Oryzias latipes: one gene and its partner. The protein of the gene in region 1 purifies or fractionates together with the protein of each later gene. This does not show direct contact. Links are inferred from orthologs where the notes say so. Each region holds a gene or a part of one and is shown on either strand. Other genes may lie near its edges.

Evidence for each region. Proteins that work in one complex are often made in the same cells at the same time.
Region 2: the proteins of uri1 (region 1) and gpn3 purify together in Homo sapiens (affinity purification with mass spectrometry; 3 studies listed by BioGRID and IntAct, with this or other methods). This does not show direct contact. The link is inferred for Oryzias latipes from reciprocal best matches to the Homo sapiens genes URI1 and GPN3.

The regions. Positions count from the first base shown.
Region 1 is NC_019864.2:30,473,967-30,483,763, forward strand, and holds uri1 (unconventional prefoldin RPB5 interactor 1), read left to right. Parts: upstream 1-4,076; 5' UTR 4,077-4,394; coding exon 4,395-4,469; intron 4,470-4,850; coding exon 4,851-4,885; intron 4,886-5,861; coding exon 5,862-5,940; intron 5,941-6,113; coding exon 6,114-6,249; intron 6,250-7,109; coding exon 7,110-7,201; intron 7,202-7,270; coding exon 7,271-7,328; intron 7,329-7,423; coding exon 7,424-7,598; intron 7,599-7,670; coding exon 7,671-7,899; intron 7,900-7,973; coding exon 7,974-8,125; intron 8,126-8,201; coding exon 8,202-8,436; intron 8,437-8,510; coding exon 8,511-8,708; 3' UTR 8,709-9,037; downstream 9,038-9,797. Other genes in the region: cytochrome b-c1 complex subunit Rieske, mitochondrial, read left to right, coding at 1-449; protein C19orf12 homolog, read right to left, coding at 1,047-1,312, 1,387-1,546. UniProt on the Homo sapiens protein: Involved in gene transcription regulation. Acts as a transcriptional repressor in concert with the corepressor UXT to regulate androgen receptor (AR) transcription.
Region 2 is NC_019870.2:16,797,245-16,807,125, reverse strand, and holds gpn3 (GPN-loop GTPase 3), read left to right. Parts: upstream 1-3,149; 5' UTR 3,150-3,264; coding exon 3,265-3,312; intron 3,313-3,468; coding exon 3,469-3,577; intron 3,578-5,811; coding exon 5,812-5,979; intron 5,980-6,088; coding exon 6,089-6,213; intron 6,214-6,310; coding exon 6,311-6,426; intron 6,427-7,092; coding exon 7,093-7,189; intron 7,190-7,281; coding exon 7,282-7,410; intron 7,411-7,496; coding exon 7,497-7,562; 3' UTR 7,563-7,802; downstream 7,803-9,881. Other genes in the region: E3 ubiquitin-protein ligase RNF170, read right to left, coding at 1-112, 692-767, 1,265-1,404; arpc3 (actin-related protein 2/3 complex subunit 3), read left to right, coding at 8,023-8,028, 8,403-8,502, 9,024-9,100, 9,564-9,632, 9,765-9,881. UniProt on the Homo sapiens protein: Small GTPase required for proper localization of RNA polymerase II (RNAPII). May act at an RNAP assembly step prior to nuclear import.

The DNA of each region.
Region 1 (9,797 bases):
TGTATGCAGCCAAAACTGTGGTCACCCAGTTCGTCTCCTCCATGAGCGCCTCAGCCGACGTCCTGGCCCTCTCCCAGATTGAAATCAAGCTGGGGGACATCCCGGAAGGGAAAAACATGACCTTCAAGTGGAGAGGGAAGCCTTTGTTCGTCCGCCATCGCACAGAGAAGGAGATCGCAACCGAGGAGGCCGTAAATCTCACAGAGCTGCGTGACCCCCAGCACGACAAAGATAGAGTGATCAACCCAAAGTGGGTCATCGTTCTGGGCGTGTGCACCCATCTGGGCTGCGTGCCCATCTCTAATGCGGGTGACTTTGGCGGGTACTACTGCCCCTGCCACGGCTCCCACTATGACGCCTCCGGAAGAATAAGAAAGGGACCCGCCCCCCTCAACCTGGAGGTCCCTTTCTACGAGTTCCCCGATGAAGAGACTGTTGTGGTGGGATAAAGAGTATTTTAAAAACGGCACCATAAGTTTATAAATCGTTTTAGGGAAAATTTCATTTACTGTGACTCCAGCAATAAGATGAATAAAGCACCTTAAGTCTTCTCAATCCTCTCTGCATTGACCTTCTCTGCCGGTAAGAATGTGAGATGGCGACAGAAAAGTTTTATTTTAGGCTTAGTGGAAAAAAACGGAGAGAATTCAGTCAATTAGGAAGCAGAAAAGGACAAAATCTGCCAGCAGAACAAACCTGGATCCCACAAAACATTGCAGAGTTTAATTAAAAAAACAAAAAAACAGCACCTACGGGCCACTTTTCTTTTATTAAAAATAAATACGATAATTCTTGTTAAATTGCAAACCATCTGATGAATGATGAATATACATCAGTAGTTTGGCTCAACATCAGTCTCGTCTGTCGCTGCATAAAATAAATAAGGCTTTACAAGAGGATTAAAAGATTTAAAATCATAATCATGACAGATAATAAAAGGCAGCTGCTTATTTGTCTTATGAGTCCATAGTGATACATGATCCTATATCAGTTTTAAAGTCATAATTTGTGATGGCACCTATACATGTCCAGAAAAATCTATACTATCAGTCCATGTAGTGCACCTCTGCCTGCAGCTCCTTGGTGACGTAACCAACCAGAGCGGCGGTCAGCTGCTGCTTCAGCACGCCGTTGCTCATCACCAGAGCAATCAGCTGAGCCACGTCCGTCCACTGAATGTCTCCAAGGACGGCCATCACGTCATCATACAGCTTCTGCTGCTGCGGGGGGCTGAGCTCCATGATGATCTGCGGCAGGGGTTTGAACTCTCCGCTGGTCAGCCAGCAGCCGAGAAGTCCGCCCACAGCGCCACCTGCAGGAGAGGTTTTAAACTAGCGTGATCGGGGAACGGTCCTGAGCAGACGTGAAGGTGGATTTTCCACTCACCCACGGCGATGCCAAGAGGACCTCCGATCAGGCCTCCAGCGAAGGCCAGCCCACCCGCCGCCGCCGCTCCCTTCCCAGAGCCTTTCACGGCGGTCTTGATCTGCTGGTTGGCGGACAACTCGCAGCAGAGCTTCATGACTTCATCGACTCGTGGGGCCATGCTAAAGGTCAGGGTTCAAGGTTCAGACAGTTCTCAACCAGACGATGCGTCACTCGGATTCTGTTATTCTGATACTTTCAGAAATGACAAAAAAGGCTTCACGCCATTCACCATCTACTTTATTAAGACTTTCATACCGTTCACTTCACTCTACAAAGGTTAGTCTTATGATCTTTAAAAAGACACAAAGGTCCATAAATGAAAGAGATTAGAAACTGATTTAAAAAAAAAATTGGAGATAAAAAATTATTTTTTGAAGACGAGTCTTAAATATGTCATTGTTCTTTGATGAAGTTTGGTTTCTATTTATCTTTAGTTTTAGTGAGGCGTCCTTATGTTGGATGTAGGGAGGCTTCCGGACATTCTGTGTGTTTTATCATTTCTATTTACAAATAAAGCACTTTGTGTTACTGCACAAAAAGTGACATGTCAATAAAGTTTGATTTGATGTGTTATTTATTGTGACATTGAATTTATTTTTGATGATTTTAAAGGAAAGACTACATTCCTTTTCTTCTGTTTTTTTTTTCTTTTAATCATTTCAGAATAAACAAAGAGAAAATAAAGGTTTGGAGAATTTTTAAAAGGAAAGCTGTTTCTGATCTGTTAACGTTTGTTAATTTCATGACAATAAAGAGAATTTAAACAAACCTGAAGGTGAATCAGATGTACATAAGTAGGATTAACGTTTTCATGCTAAACACACCAAAAACATTTGATTTAATCTGGTGATGGTCAATATAAACTATTTCTTAAAATTTATACTTAGAATATTTTGTCCTAAATTCAATTAAAACCTTAAGAATGGATTAAACTTGGTTTCCGGTCTTTAAATTGGTTTTAAACAGCCGAAAAGGCGCTTTAATCATGAGTAAATTGAAAGGCTAACGTGATGCTTTTGCTAGCTGGCTCTTTTTGTCTCTTTCAAACTATATAGTTTAATTTAAAACATAAATCCATAAGCGGAATAAAAAATAAATATACCGGACATACCTGACAAAATGATGAAATCTTTGACCCTTCTTAATGCGGTGAGGTCATTTTATCAGAAGTTAGGCTTTGCTGATCACCATCTTTAGCTAACATGTTTGTGTGGGTGGCGCAATGCCCGACGGGAAAAACAGCGGTGCTGCATTCAGGAAGTTTCGGAGCTTTGTGTTTCAACAAAAACACAATTCTATTTATTTTTTACTCCTTTATAAAGAAGCCTCAGTCATTTATTTATTGTTGGTGGAATAAGTTTGTATTCTTATCAAAATAGCTAATTTTATTCCATAAATGACACGAGGGACAGGAAATACAACAATCGTGGAGTTGGACAATCTGAATCGAGTAGCTGAACCTAAAGAATCAGTGTTTTATAAAAAATAAAATAAAACATTCACGAAGAAAGATGGCATAGCATAGTTGGGCTAGTAGAGATGCCAGAAGTAAAACTTTCCATTCACAATATATAAAAGGCGTCATGTTGTTGTTTGTATTATTATTATGATTATAATGATGATTATGATTATTATTATTGCTTTGTTTTATTGATCCATTATCATTATTTTTGTTCGGTTGTCAAAAAAAGAATAAATAAAAACTTGAATTATAAGAAAAACAACAATGGAGTTACGGCTCATTTTAAATGTTTAAACTGTTTTTCGTCCTCTTTTTCTGGTAAATTAAACTAATCGTAACATTAGTAAAAGGTTTTTCCACATGGTTCTAAAGTAAGCAAATGATAGTTAATTTTTAAGGTAATTGGATCTGTGAACACTGTGAATGTATAACTGCAATCCAGTCATCATAAATGATAATTTGAGAAACAGGTGTGTTGTGCTATTTGAACACCACAGATGCAGAAAGTTGTCACATTTCGTGTTTAACTAAAATTAGAAAAAGTTGAAGAAGGCCTGTAAGTCAGTATTCCGGGCTGCAGCTGTAAAGTTTGATCAAAAGTGAACATAAAACTGTGATTTTTGCTGTAATGACGTTATATTAAATGCCGACATCAAGAAAATGGATATTTTAACTAAAAGCAATAATTCGCTGTTCAAATCCAACAGAACATCCTTTATTGCATCTTCTTTCAACTATTTATAGTGCATCCAATTGCAACGCATGCAGACTAAAGTTTTTTTTTCTGAACTGACAGTTTAATTAAAGCTAGAAGTAATATTTTTTTTCTTTAACGTGTGTTTCTGTTTGTTAGTTTTTATACGTTTTAATGCTTGTACAGCTCTAAGTTAAGATTCGGTTTATTTTTTATGTTTCGTAAAATATTTACAATACTAAACATTTACCCAGAGTGCACTCTGGTAGACTTTTCTAGACGTCAAACAGAAATGACACGCTTGGTTTTCAAAGTAAGAGCGAACATTTAGATAACGTGTTAACATTTTAAGAAAAACACATGTAAGATACGTGATAACGAAGATTAAATTGGCATGTAATTTATGGTTTGGTGTTTTGGGAGAAACTTGCATAAAAAAACGTTGCCCACTCCAAGTCTCTTCCGTTCACGGGTTTTATTTTGAAACTAAAAACCGGAACAGCTCCCGTTTCTTCCCCTGTGGGTCGATCTGCACAGCGAAAGAAGCGAGGAGTTCTCTGCTAACCTCTGGATCCAAACTCGGCGGATTTTTTTGGAGATCATGCAGAAGCCGTGAAATGAGCGTGTGAGATGATATCACCTTCGGACGTGAGGATTACCGTCGATGCCCCGTTGATGAAGGCGCGCGGGACGGGCCTCCGGAGGAGCTGCTGCTGCTGCGTTCATAAACACTTCTTTAGGACTCACAACAAACCCTGAGCTTTGGTGCTCCTCAGAGCCCCAAGGCACCTGTGCACGTGCGGAGTAAGGATGGCTGGAGGAGGAGGTAAAGCGAACATGAAGCCCCTCGGCGGGGTTCACAGGCTCCGAGAGGAGCACGAGAAGGTAAGAGGAGCGCGTGAGCAGATCTGCAGCTGCGGGCCACGAGGCTTGTTTCCTTCTGAAAACATCCTCCTCTGCAGACATGAGCCGCAAATACGGAGAAAGAAGATTCGTTTCTTTTCTTTGCCCTGCTTCAGGTGAATTAGATCAACCCACAAGCCCCTCCCCCAAACCTTTACCTGAGCTTTTACTCCTGCAGGTTGTTTGGTTTCAGACTCCATGTTTACAGGCTGCCTTTGCTGCTAACTTCTGTTTTTTCTCTCTCTCTCTCTTTCTCTCTGTTTGGCTAATAAGGAACACAAAACTCAGTTTGATAGCATGAAAACATGTATGTTGTGTTGAACGTGTCATGTTGTTCATGAAAGCATTTTTTTCCTGCATCAGGTGGTGAAAGACTGTGACTCACGGATTCAGCATTGGTAAGCTGCACAGTCCTGAAAGTTTCTCCTCTTCTACGGTTTCCTCTCTGCTTTGAGTGTGAATGTGTACGACTTGGATATGAATGCAACAAAGACGCTCAAAGTTTGCAGGAGAATAACCCCCCTCCCTTTTTTTTAAGCTGCAGTCATGGATTTAGATGATCGCATTTTCAATTTTAGAACTTGACGGTTAAAGCTTCCCATATTATTTTCCTCATATGGCAAAGACAAAAGTTTTTCTAGGATTTAGCAGTCTATCGCCACAGCATGATACTTCCGCCACCCTGCTTTACCATGGAGACACGCCCCCACAGAAGACTAGTTTAGCTCCTAAACCGTCCCTCGCCCACAGTCGGCCCTGATGCAACATTTCCTTTTGTGGTCCGTTAGCAACTTCCATATTTTTGCAGAATTCTCCCCTTTTTCTTTGCTTTCTCTTTCATTTTCTAGGATGTATGAGAACAAAATAATTCAGAAAGATGCAAAAAACAAACCAGATCAGCCAATTTAAACTCCACTATCTGATGAGGTTGACATCGTTTACTCGCACCAGGCGAATAATCTTAAGAAATTAGGTAATAATTGGCGTTTATTTGTTTAGGGAAACGTTTATTTTTTCTGCTCTGTTTTTTTTACTATATAAACTATAAACTTTCAGGTTATTTTGTGAGTTATACTCTTGTAAAAATGTAGTTTAAATGCATTTAAATGTCCTTTTTTCCTTAAAGATTTTCAGCAGTCATTTATTTTGGTTTTGTTTACAGTCTTCATGAAGGCGTAAAAGTTTTTTTTAATCTCTAATGCAAGTTAATAAAAGTTAAGATGTTTTGGTTTAAAGTAGTTTTCCTTATAGATGATTGTCATTGCCCCCTTGTGGCCATCTGAGCAATAACATCCTTTAACTTTACTCATCATTTTATACCCAAATCGCATCAATTGGGTTAAATTCTGAATATTTCTGTGACCCGACCTGCAGGATGAAGGTGTCGGGTGATTACGACGCGCTCAGCGATCGACTCAAAACCCTCCCAGACCGGCTCTCCTATGACATCATGGTGAGCGCTCGCCGTTTCACTTGACAAGTTTACAGAGTGACCCAAAAACCAAAACTTTACTGGAAGTTCTGTGTCTCCCGTTTGCTCCATGTTCGCGCCCACTTCCTGTCAGCTGCTCTGACTAACCCGGTTCTGTTCTGTGGCCCGTCCGGGCCTCCTTGTGCTGTGAGCAGGTGCCCTTCGGCCCGCTGGCCTTCACGCCCGGCAAGCTGGTGCGCACCAACGAGGTCACCGTGTTGCTGGGCGACAACTGGTTCGCCAAGTGTTCGGCCAAACAAGCCCAAGCGGTGGTGGATCACAGGATGAAGCGTGAGTTTCTGAACGGCGGCGTGTGGCTGCAGAGCGGCGGCCTGTGGCTGCAGAGCGGCGGCCTGTGGCTGCAGAGCGGCGGCGTCTCCAGCGGGGGGCGGCAGTGCGTCACATTCCGACAGCCTGAGCTTTACTTTACAGACGTTTCTGGGCTCAGGATGAAGTACGTCTTTGTGTAAAAGCGTTTGGACTCGTTCTTTACGTCAGTGACGGCTGCAGGCTTAGCCCCCCCCCCCCCCCCCCCCCACCACCACACTTTTGTGGCCAGGTTATAGACCGCTATGGTCGTTTGGCGTGTTGTCCGGACGCTACAGCCTTTACCTCCACATAAAAAAACCCTCTCTGATTTGAACATTATTAGACTGTTTAGTGAAGCAGAAATGCCCCCCCCCCGCCCCCCCCTCTCCTGACCCCCGCCATCCCTGCTATTACACAGCTAAGTGCTGTAATGCAAACACAGCGAGCTGAAATGTGTCAGACAGCGGCTGAGCTGTCTGGCCTTCTGCGTTTGACCTTTCCTCACTTCCAGTTGATGCACTGACTGGAGGGGCTCGCCATCGCCATGGAAACAAGGGCCCTCTGCTGCTATTAGTGAAAGGGCTTAATTGTTGTGAAGATTTAATGATCCGGAGTAGCATTCAGGGCAGAAGATATTATGAACTGTTTGTGTCATCATTTTTCTCCCCCCCCCTCGCGCTTTTCCTCGCCTTGTTTGGGGGTTTTAACTCTTCAGCAGCTGCTCGTCACAGCGATGCACGTTTCACGGCGCCCTGCCGCCGCCGCCGCCAGCCTCTGCGCGTTCTCGTTGTTGTCGGAGCGCCGTCGCCGCCTTCTCTCATGAAAATGCTTCTGTGTTCCAGACGTGAAGAAAGAACTGGACGACCTCGCCAAGACCAGGAAGAACTTTGAAGCGCGGGTTGGGCTCGCCAAGGATCTGGAGACCATGTCGGCCGTACGTGGCGTTTCTGCGAGTCCTCACACACGAACACACACACACTAATCTATTGACTCTCGGCTGTAGAATAAAGGAGAGTTTGTGGACATCAGAGAGGAGGTCACGAGCTCCACCGCCAGCAAAGGTATCTTCACAGAACGTTCTTCCTCCTCCTCCTCTTCCTCGCTGTGATTAAAGACGGTTCTCCTTCAGCAGAGTGACGTTTGCTTCTTCTCACAGGGAAGCAGAGAATAGCTCACAAACCAAACTCCAAACCAAAGCTGGACGTCGTGGTTGATCTAAACGAGGAGGAAGAGGAGAAGGAAGGAGGGACAGGAACCATGACCGAGGAGGAGCTGTGGCGCCGGTTGGATGAACTTGAAAGACTGGAGGAGCTGCAGGACGAGCAGGACAGGTAGACTCCGCCTCCTCCTCTGTGCTAAAGAGCTGAACTTCAGAGGATCCCAACTGATATGTTTCTCCTCAGATTGTCCGATACCGCCGACACGAACGGCGACGACTCATCCTCGTCTTCCTCAGAGGAGGAGAAGGAGGCCGCCTGCGCGCCTCCCGTCAACGGCCTGAAGCCCGGCTGGAGCCCCGCCCCCCACAGCGACCCTCCACTCCCCAACCGGAAAGCAGAAGATGACGAGCAGGAGGAGGAAGGCAGCTGTCTCCCCACCATCTTCTTCTCTCACACAGTTGAACCGAAGAAGGTGCGTTTACAGATGGGGGGCGGGGGCTCTTTGCTCCGCGGCGTCCGCGTTGAACAGCTTCACCTGTGTTTCAGGTGAGAATCAACACGGGAAAGAACACCACGCTGAAGTTCAGCGAGAGGAAGGAGCAGAAGGAGCATTCAAAGAGGAAGAAGAAGAACGGCCACAGCAACGGGCACGCTCACCACGAGCTCCACAAAATCACGTCTCCAGCGGACGTTTACAGGTGTGGGAGGGGCTAGCAGCTGCAGCTCACCACCATGCGGTTGTTCGGCGTGCTGATGGCGTTTGTGTTTGCTCAGGCTCTTTGTGGACGTGAGGAACGGCGAGCCCGTCCCCAGAAAGTCCATCCTGAAGTCTCGCAGTCGAGAGAACAGCGTGTGCAGTGACACCAGCGAGAGCAGCGCCGCCGACTTTGAGGAGCGGCGCGTGACGGGGCGGAGCTTCAGCCACGACGAGGCCACGCACAGCGACACGAGCGACGGCGTCACGGAGGAGGACAGCCCCACCGCCGGGCCTCTGCTGAGCCGCTTCGAGGTGAACGCAGACGCCGTGGCGGCGCGCGTCCGGCGCGAAGGTTTCCCGGCTGACGGCTTTTCTTCTCCTCCCAGGCCTTTTCCGGGACGGTGATAGAGAAGGACCCCATGCCCACAGGAGTCCCCCACCTGACCATCCTGCCCCCCGCGCTGCCCACCATCCCAGAGAGGAAGCAGGAGGAGGTGGCGTCGGACGTCACGCCGCCGCCGGTGCCGCCGGAGGCGTCTAAAAGATTGTCAAAGTTTAAAGCTGCCAGGTTGCAGCAGAAATGACATTTGAAGATGAGATTATTCTTTCACCAGTAAACAACTTTTATATTTCCTTACTGTAACCACGCCGCTTTCCCAGCATTCCCCGGGAAGCGTGCAGTAGCCACATAGATGCGTCTCTTGTTGCTGCGTTTGTGACGCGTTGAGCCGCCAGGTGAGTCTGGCTGCAGGCTCTGGGCGCCGTGGCCTTCCTCTCTTTGTCAGAACCAGGGGCGGCCATGTTGCTTTTTTTACCTGTGGACCTGCCTGGTGAATGTATGTTTTCCTCTCTGCAGTAAGAAAATAAGGAAATATTGATGAAATGTAGCCGGAAAATAAAGGATTCAAAGCTCTGGTGTTGCTTTCTTTGTGTTTTGTGAGAGAAAAAATGAATGGGTAGATGTGGATCTCTCCTGCTCTCCTATTCGCCCACAGGGCTTTGTTGTGTTTCTGCGCATCAGAATCAGGTTATGTCCCGCTTTTCTGCCGTCGTTGCACGCCAGCATAAAAAACATGGAGTTATTTACGTGAATTAAACCGCCTTTTCCAACAAAGTGACAGATTGTTGTGCACATTTATGTTTGAACAGCATTTCCTGTCTGAGTCCTTGATAAAAAACATGTTTCTTTAAAGGATTTTATTCATTTGTTGCCAAAAACTGTTGAATTTGAGAAACGAATGTGTGGTTTGCATTTGTTGGGTTTACAGAGTGGATTAAATGGGAGAAATTGCTGAATTTCTTCTGGAGAAAAAACATCTCACCAACGTTTATCAGGAGGAACTTTTCCTTTTGTGTCCATGAAGCAGCTTCTTGTTTCACTCAGATGTTTGCTTTAGTTGAATTTAAATACAATTAAGCATAAAGTTGCTCTACATTTATTTGGCGAGGATTCATAAAACACGAGTCTGAATCCAGGTTGTAGAATTGGTTTAAAAAAAACCTAATCAATTCATGTAAAAATGAATACGTTGATAGAATCTATGAAAAGGTTTTTTTCTTGAGGAAAAAAAGTTTTTGTTCACATTTACTGTTTTATGGATGGAAGTTTTCATTTTCTCATGGATGTAAAAACAGGTCTTTATCACCAAAAAAAAGGACATTTGTCGTCTGAA
Region 2 (9,881 bases), on another chromosome or scaffold:
AGAAAAGGTGTCCACAGTTTGTTTCCACGGGCAGAACCGCCTGCTGCAAACAGACGGGGCAAGACATGTCTGTGTAGAACTGCTGCCTGGCCTCTGCCTGAGGGTTTTCATCCTGACAAACCACACGCAGAGAACACGTCTCACCATTGCAAACAGGACGTTTGACAAAATAAAATACACAGAAAGACATCTTCCTAAAATAGAATCGGTGATTCTGCAGAGCTGCAAAGATCACTGTTATGAAATATTTCAATGTAGTGGTTCTGATTCTGCAGTTCCTCCATTTCCTGTGTCTGCCTGCTTACATATGTTCTTAACTCCTCACTGAATTTTAAAGCCTTTTGAGGTGACGATGAGCAAACAGTTTAAACTCAATTCAATACTGAAGATACTGGCCGTCTGTATATGTATATGTATAAATATTTTTAAAAATGTAGTTTTAACTTACTCAGATAAATAAATAAATAAATAAAAAGGTTATTTTAAAGTATTACAACTCCAAGAGTTAAAAAAAAAAAACAAGCTACATTTATTTTCTGTTTACTTGTTTGATTTTTTAAAAAAATAGAGCAGTGAATGATTTTATTTTGAAACTCAGAATTAAGCAACAGAAGAGAAAAACGGCGCTCTGTGGCTACAACTAGTCTAGGTTTTGCCAAAAACTTTCTGGGGTTCTTTCTAGGTTGCGCACCTGTTCAGTTTGAAGCTGCTGTCGGACCGCTCGGACATGCTCCTGGTTCTCAGGGTGGATATTCTGCTCATCTTGCCTTAAAAAAGAAGACAAAGAATAATGATCAGACACTAGGATGAATTATGTCATATATGATTGAATTCATCCTTAAATCCCTGACTTGAAAAATCCAAAAACAAAAAGATTGCAACAGATTAACGCAAAGAGAGGCAATCTGAGTGTGTCAATTCTCACTTATGTGTTTCTGCCTGAAGGACAAAAGGTTTTCAACCGTCGTTGCGGTAAGAAATGGATCAATGAAAGAAAATTTCATAATGATGATGTAAGTAAAATGATCTGCCAACTTTGATTGGAGCGCAAAGACCATCATTTTGCTCGTTGCGCAGGGAAACGAGCCTGATCGATCTGGCGTTACTTCAGTCGCTTTAAATTCTAGAATTAGCTCCTATATCTGTGATATCACATAAATTAAACAGCAGCATAATTTCTCCAATCAGCAGAGAACAGCACAGTAAAAACACTGCATGAACTCAATGCTGCCAGTTTTTGCACAGACTTGTTGGTCTTCATTACCTGCAGAGAAGAGTGAGGAGGCCCGCCAGGAAGGTCAAACTGAGAACTACAACAAACAGGACCTGGTTGCTGACACCTTCGATGATGGTGTCCTCATCCTGGATCAGGTAGTCCAGCTCTCCACATTGACTATCCCCCATTCCCTAAACTCATATCCTATGACTCTGGAAAATGAGCAGAGAAAACAAACCCGGAAATTCTTTATCTCCAAAATAAAAGCCTTCAATGGAGAACAGAATCTTTTTAATTGTACATTTTCCTGACAATTTGACACAATTGTAAACATAAAAACCAAACAATATAATGTGAACAATTTAACAGAACAAAGAGAGTGGATAATTGTTGAAAGCTGGACTCTTTTGGGGTTTTGTTACCTCATTCCTGAGCAGCTTATCGAGAATTCTTGAAAGCAAACGTCATTTGTAAACAATTAATGTTTACTTATAGGTTCATTTATCTTAACGGAGGTTTTCAGACCTCATTACTTTTTAACGCTACACAAACGATTATTATAGTCATTTATAACTAGGATTTAAAAAAAGAGAGGATTATTATCGCTCGTAAACAAATACAGAGCCTTATGCTAACAACAAACCTTAAGGTAGTTCCTGAAGTGAAACTATTTCATATCACGTAAATCGAAAGCACTGACGAAAATTAACATGAACGTGTTTCAGACAGCAAAAAAAAATACAACAAAAAAAGAAAACATTTGTTTTAAAAAATAGAAAAACAAAGACTTGCCATAGTTAGTAGTAGTAGTAGTACCTGCTAAGAAGTCCACCGTCACGCGGTAATGTCTGTACACAAACTTGGCCTGTTAACTCCATTCACTTCCTCGAAACATACTATTAATTTAAGCGCCTGATGAAGGACGCAATCAACAAACTTGGTGAGCAGGAAGGCTTGCATACGTTTCCAAATTTCACCTGATCATCGCATGTTGATGCAGTCACTTTCTACTTCTTACTCAATTTTGGTGGTTTCGTTTGTTGACAGCAAAGATCCCTGGGGCTCTACCGCTCCCTAACGGCCAGTTTGTGAACAACTTATTGTCATGATCTTTGCTTTAAGTTTCATGGTTATCGTGGTCATATCATAGGCAGTTTAAACGACTTGTTCAAATAAATACATATGGTTTTAATAAAGCAATTTTAAAGTTAAAGAGCAAAATTTTTCATTTCCTGGGGAAACTTAAAAAAATGCCACAACTGACACTGCCACAGAATTTGCGACTCAATGGTAATTGACACACAAAAAGAAAACAATTGTTGCACAGTATTTTCCTCACTATATTGGTTCAATGCTCATCATCAGTACATTCGTATGGAAGATTTCTGTAGTATATTTTAAAATGAAAGTCAATACCAGAAATGCTTTTTCAATTTTTAAAATGAAGCTGCATTTGTAATAATTTATAATAAAAAAAAAAACAATCCGACCAAACCACTTTTTCTTTTTCTTCTTCTTCAACACAGCTCATTCTGTCACTTAATTAAAATGAGAAAGAAAATGGTATTCGACATTTTTTACTAAATGTGTAGCATAATGTAATTAGAAATATCTTCTTTGATCATCAAAGTTTATTAACAGAAATGCTTTTTCATTTTGAAAATGTAACTGCATCAAGTGAATTAAAAAATAAAATTACAAACGAATGAGCCAATCTGCTTTTCTTTTTCTTCTTCAACACCGCTTATTCTGTGGCATAATTAAAGCGAAAATGCAAAGATGGGATTGCATTTTTGTTTTCACATCCACCGTGCGAAAGGTGTAATAATTCATCACCAGTTCATTCCATTGTGGCTCTTTTTCAGACCACTGTCACCCTGACTTCCATTTCCTCTTTTGATCAGTAGGTGGCAGTAATGAGCCTGACCGTAAATCATCTACCGGAGAAGAAGAAGTAGCGTCATCACACCGATGCGTATGGCATTACAAGCTAGCGTCTGTGGTTAAAGATACTTAAGATCTTTATCACACCGCATTTTTCAGAGAAAATGCCTCGCTATGCCCAGTTGGTGATGGGCCCGGCTGGTAGCGGAAAGGTATGTTTTCAAAAATGCCACTGGATGGTCTACAGCCTCTTGTCTGTTGTTGCTAACAGTACATGAGGTGGTGTCAGTCACCCAGCGTGTTTTTATTTTGTTATTGTGTTTTGCCATTAATTGTATCTTTTTAAAATATTATTATTAATATTTCAGAGTACGTACTGCTCCACCATGACCCAGCATGCAGAGGCTTTGAACCGCTCAGTTCAGGTGGTCAACCTGGATCCAGCAGCAGAACACTTTAATTACCCTGTTATGGCAGGTTAGTATGCTCAAAATGAACCGTTTGTGTCTCCAAATATGAAAACAAAAAAATTAAAAAACGATCATGTTGTCATGGTAATCCATCTATGACAGCAGGATGTCCTTTCTGACGTTGGTAAATCCTTGTTAAAGTCTTGAGATCTGTTGAACCTAATTTACTTTTGTTTAAAAAAAAAGTATTTTATTGAATCTTTAAGTTTATATAATAATAATAACAATATTAATAATAATAATAGTGGATTGGATCTTTCTGCGCTTTTCCAGACGCTTAAAGTGCTTATTATGTGTCCATTATTCATTCACTCCTAAGTCATATTATGGATACACCTCAGTATTGAGAGATAGAATGTTACAAATTAAAGACTTCATTTGTAAAGTGAAGTAGAAAATAAGTATTTGGTCAATATCAAAAGTTCATCTCAATTCTTTTGATAGAGGTCAGACATTTTCATTGGGTCTTCTCTTTTGGTCCATTTCTCCATGTAGATCTCCTCAAGAGCTTTGACGTTACTGAGCATCACAGACTTTCATCTCCCTCCACAGATTCTCTATTGGATTGAGGTCCACAGTCTAGCTAGACCACTCCAGAGCCTTAAAATGGTTCATATTTTGCCACTTTTGTGTTGCCTAGGCCAGTGTTTTTCAACATTTTTTGAGCCACGGCACACTTTAACCTTGACAAAGACACAGCGGCACACCAGCATCCAAAAAAAAACTCAGTCTGTATTGATCGACAGCCCCCCCCCCCCGCAATCTCACGTGCATTTTTGTGATAATTGGGGCAGAAAAAACAGGAAGTTGCAGCTGTTTTTTCTAAAAGATGAAATAAAAGTTAAGTTAGAAAATTCAAAAACTGTTTCATGTGTGTTTGTTGTGGTTTCAAGACATTTAACAAGGACGACTCATTGTACGCTAAGACGCTGTCCCTTTAACCCAGTGCATCGTGGGAGATGTAGTGTGAAAACTGCCGCAAAAGGGCAGAAGCTTCAATGTTTTGTTCACTTGTTCCACGGTCTGACACCGGATTCTGTGGAAAGCTACACCGCTAAAGACGACCTTTGGCTGGTATTTTTGTTAGAACCGAGAGACTTTATGAGCTAAATCGGGACAAGGAAGTGAAGACTTTAACCACTTCTGATTGGTCAGACTGATGACATGTGATTAAACCTTCAAGAATGATTGGCGGAGACAGTTAAAGGGGCGGGACTTTTCCTAAAACAGCTAAAGCTGCAGCCAAATCGCGGTACCGTCATTCTTATCAAAATGTCTTTAATAGAATCAAATAAACACAAAGAAAAAATAATTTTGTGATCTTTTATATTCCTAACTACTCAGTGTTTTATCAGGGCCTGTTTGGATGAACACAGAGCTGATTTCCTGGAGATGGGAAATGTTTTTAGATCAGTTAATGAGGGCAATTTCCCACGGCACACTGGACCATCTCCCACGGCACACTAGTGTGCCGCGGCACACTGGTTGAAAAACACTGCTCTAGGCAATGTGTTTGAGATTTTTGTCATGCTGGAAGATCCAGGCACATTTCATCCTCAGTACTCCCACTGAAAGAAGAAGTTTTCTTTTGCCCAAAATCTCTCCATTCATCCTTTTCGTAACAAGGATCAGTTGTAATGTCCAGTGAGCAGAAACACAGGCCCAATTCATGATGTTTCCACCCCCATGCTTCACAGTAGGTAATGTGTTCCTGGGATGTGAATTGGCGATCTTTCGCCGCAAAAAACTGCAAGTGGCGTTGATGCCAAAGAGTTCCATTTTTGTGTAGTTCTGGGCGGTTTCCTCATCGTTCTCAAGATCATATAGCAAACAGGTGACGTTAACACAGGAAACATGGAAGAATTTCTTAAAGAAGTAACAGGTCTGTGAGGGACAGACATCCTGGTCGTTTGTAGGAGATAAATACTTCTGTGGTACTTTTTGCACCACTGAATAAATAAATGATTTCAAAATCCTAAAATACAATTTCTTGGATTCTTTTTTTTTTTATTGTCTCTCTCACGGTTGAAGTGTATCTAGCTATGATGAACTTTAGAGACCTCTACCATTTTTAAGTAGGACAGCTTGCAGAATCGGTGGCTGACAAATACTTTTATCGCCCGTCGTTGAAATTAGAAGCAAAAGTAGATGATTAGTGAAAAGTGAGATCCTGCGAAGGTTGTTTTTTTAAGTCCGTTTCCAGGAATTAATGCCTTGTGTTTTTTTTTTTTGTGCTTTCAGACATCCGGGAGCTCATCCAGGTGGACGATGTCATGGAGGATGACTCTCTCAGGTTCGGCCCCAACGGAGGCCTGGTGTTCTGCATGGAGTACTTTGCTAACAACTTCGACTGGCTGGAGGAAAGCTTAGGTCACGTGGAAGACGATTACATACTGTTCGACTGCCCAGGTAAAAGCCTCAGCTCGGTTTCTGCAGGGAGTTGAGGGTTCGTGATTGTAAATCCAGCATCCGGAGGTGTTCTGGTACCGGATGTAATTTGTTTTTTTTTTCTCTGCAGGTCAGATTGAACTGTACACCCACCTGCCTGTGATGAGGCAGCTGGTGGAGCAGCTCCAACAGTGGGAGTTTCGGGTTTGCGGAGTGTTTTTGGTTGATTCCCAGTTCATGGTGGAATCTTTTAAGGTATATATATGTATCCTTTGCTCTGTGTTGTTATTTTTGTTTGTTTGTGTAGAACCTGAACTGATCAGCACCAGCTTTTCTCTTTGTTTCCCTGCAGTTTATCTCTGGAGTCATGGCTGCCCTCAGCGCCATGGTGTCCCTGGAAATTCCACAAGTGAACATCATGACAAAGATGGACCTGCTGAGCCCCAAAGCCAAGAAGGAAATTGAAAAGTACGGACAAAGCACATCTGCCAGCTTTCAGAAAAAAATTAAAACGCCACAGAATTGATTATTTACAACCATTCTTAATACAGTCAGAAAACAAAATCAAGCAAATGTAGAGATTAATTTAGAAAAATAGAAACATCTGAAGAGGTGAGTTTGGAAAAACTAAAGAAAAGCTGCCTTTATTACTAGTTTCTTACAGATTAAAACCCAGCAAGTTCCACAAGGTTCCACTTAATGATTGGAAAAATAAACTTAATTTATTTTTTGCCTACATACATTCATTTATTAAAAGTAACGTTTAAATATTTACAATAATTAAACTAAAAATGATAAATATATAGTGATAAATTTAATATTTTTATGAAGTCCAAATACAACAGAAATTATTTAAAATACTCACTTTTATTGCCAGTAATGACATATTTTTGATAATTAACAGTTTAGCAAGTATTTGCTGACTAGAATTTAGATTTCTCAAAGTGTAGGTTGGACCTGCTGGGAAACAAACATAAAGTTTTGCTTATGGTTTTTGTTTTTCTATGTTAAAAGCATGAATGAACACTTTTGATTTATTTATTTTGATTTTTCTTTAACTGAGTGTTGTAAGTTTGCAGAAGTAAGTAAATGTTCCTTCATGAAATGCGTGTTTGTGTTGTTGTTTTTTTGAAGGTATCTGGACCCAGACATGTACTCAATGATGGAAGATAGCTCCCATACAATCAGAAGCGCCAAGTTCAAGAAGCTAACCAAAGCTATTTGTGATCTTGTAAGTGGACTTGCAGCTTTGTGGCCTAATCTGTTGTCGTGTGTCATTGCTGATTTTTTAAAATTCTCTAAACATTTGGCTTCTTTGTCCAGATAGATGACTACAGTATGGTAAGGTTTCTGCCCTTTGACCGGACTGATGAGGAGGGTATTAACATAGTGCTGCAGCACATCGACTTTTCCATTCAGTATGGAGAGGACCTGGAGTTAAAGGAGCCAAAGGTGAGAACATCTCTAGAGAAAAGATGATTTCTTTGATCTTTGATCTTTTATGTGACATTTGAGGTTTTGCTTTTTGTCTTTTGCAGGAAGGGGATGAAGAACCAGCTAATCTAAATTATGACGAGATATTCCAAGACACAGTTGGCAGCTGAAGCTGGAATCCAGATACAATAGTTGACAACGATGTTTGACTGATTGAAAGGTTGCATTGACTGCATGATTTAAACAAAAACAAAAAAGAAAAGAAATTTGAGTTTTTTATTGGGTGTTTTTTAGCCTCATCGTTTCGTTTTTTTGTTTTGTTTCTGTGTTGATTCTGTGGAAAACTCTGATTTATTATCAAAGGAAGATATAATGCTATTTATTTTTTCTAATAAAATCAATAAAACACATGCCTTGTTGCTTTGTAAAATCATAAAGTCACAAACTAAAAACAAAATGTCAAAAATGGCCTTGTAAACTCAAACCACGTGTCAGCGCCCCCAAGTGGTTGCAACGCCACATGACATCCAGCCACTTCCTGTAACTCAAAGGGTGCGACAGCCGGAAGTAGCGTCTCGCTGTGCTGACATTCCACTTGCTGAGCAGTTGGATTGATAGATTTCAGTCAACATGCCGGTTAGTAAATACCATCCTTCATGCCTTTTTTCAATGTTTATTTATTAGTTTTTGTGTGTAAATTTTGCCGGCTAAAGCAAAAATAGCTAGCCTAAAATTCTGGTTAACGCTAGCTTCACGATGATGAGTCTTTTAGCTTAGCTTATGCTTGCTAGCCTCTTTGGCATTTTAGCAATTTTAAAGTTTCGCACGTATAAATGAACAAATCTGTTGTTACTTTGTGACGTTTACACTTATTTTGACATTACCTGATTAGGGAGACATGGAAAGTGGCGGATTACTGATTTTGTTACAGTGATATATATGCGCTGCTGGAATATCTGAACTGGTGGTTCTGATGACAGCGATGTGTTCCTGTTTCTTTATAATGTCAGGCATATCACTCCAACCTGATGGAGCCGAACACCAGGATGATCGGAAACATGGCCTTGCTCCCCATCAAAACTCAGTTTAAAGGACCAGCGAGGGGAGACGGTGAGCATTTTTCATGACCCATTCACAGGCTGGTGCAACTGCATAAATGTTCCGTCTGCCGATACAAATCCCAAACTACCAGATAGGTTTAATGACCAAAAAAATCTCCTCTTGTTTGACTTGGCACCATTCAGAGTTTTACATGCATAGAGCGTCTGCTCAGTTCCTTATTTAAGTGTCAGCTGAACTTCCTTTTATGGTCTGAAGTCAATCCCCAGGTTGGTAGTTATTGACTTGTTTTATTTAGGTCGAAAAACCTCCTTTATTGACGTAGTATGGTATCTATTTTTTCTCTTCAAGTGTTAAAGAATTGCATTTTTTTTAAAAGGTGCTCAATTTTGCAATGTTTTTGTCTGTTTAGTCGCTATCTTTCAGATTTAAGAACAAAAAGCATAAAAAATGGGCTTCTGAAAAACAGGAAGTGACATAATTTTGCCCATGGATATTAAAAGGTTAAGTGGTAGTTAATTAAAAAATGTATAATATTGGTTTGCTAATGCGTGAATGTTTTTTTTCTCCAGGTGTAGAGTCTGATATAATTGATGAGGCTATTTACTACTTCAAGGCCAACGTCTTCTTTAAGAACTACGAAATCAAGGTATGAAATCCAAACTTTTCATTTGAAGGAACTGACAACTTATGTTTGTGGAGTGTTTACCACTCAGTGTTATTTTATGTTTATATTTTTGAAGGCCTAAAAAGTTCTTTACTTTTTAGATTATTTAAAGTTTGATAATCAATTTTCTAAAAAAAAAAAAAAGTACCTTTATAACATTTCATTACTTGTAAATGTTTTTTAAGTCCCCAAAAACCATGTAGCCATCTGGTGCACTCAAATCTGTCTTTAGTTTCTTCTCCCTGCCTTTTCTGTATCTTGCAGCTGCTTCACTTTTTTCCTTCTTTTCATGTCCCAGCGTGTTTTTTTTTCCCCCTACTTTTGTCAGGAATGCAATCCTTTCATAGCCTTTTTTTTCTCTTTAGGATAACGACAACCATTTCCTTTTCTGTCATTCAGAGCGGACCTTAGCGCTGACATAAACATTTGTGTGTCTCTTTTTCAGAATGAGGCCGACAGGACGCTTATCTACGTTACATTGTACATTTCTGAGTGCCTGAAGAAGTTACAAAAGGTAAATTGGAAGTTGGTTCTGGTAAATTTTGCTTTGAAACGTAGAAAAAAAGATTTTGTTGTACTTAATCTGTTTATTTTTGAAAGTTTGATGCTTTAGGAAAAAAAAACTGTCATTTTTTGCACTTTCCAGTGTAGCTCCAGAGGGCAGGGAGAGAAGGAGATGTACACCCTGGGCATCACAAACTTCCCTATCCCCGGAGAGCCCGGCTTCCCTCTCAACGCCATGTACGCCAAACCTGCGAGCAAG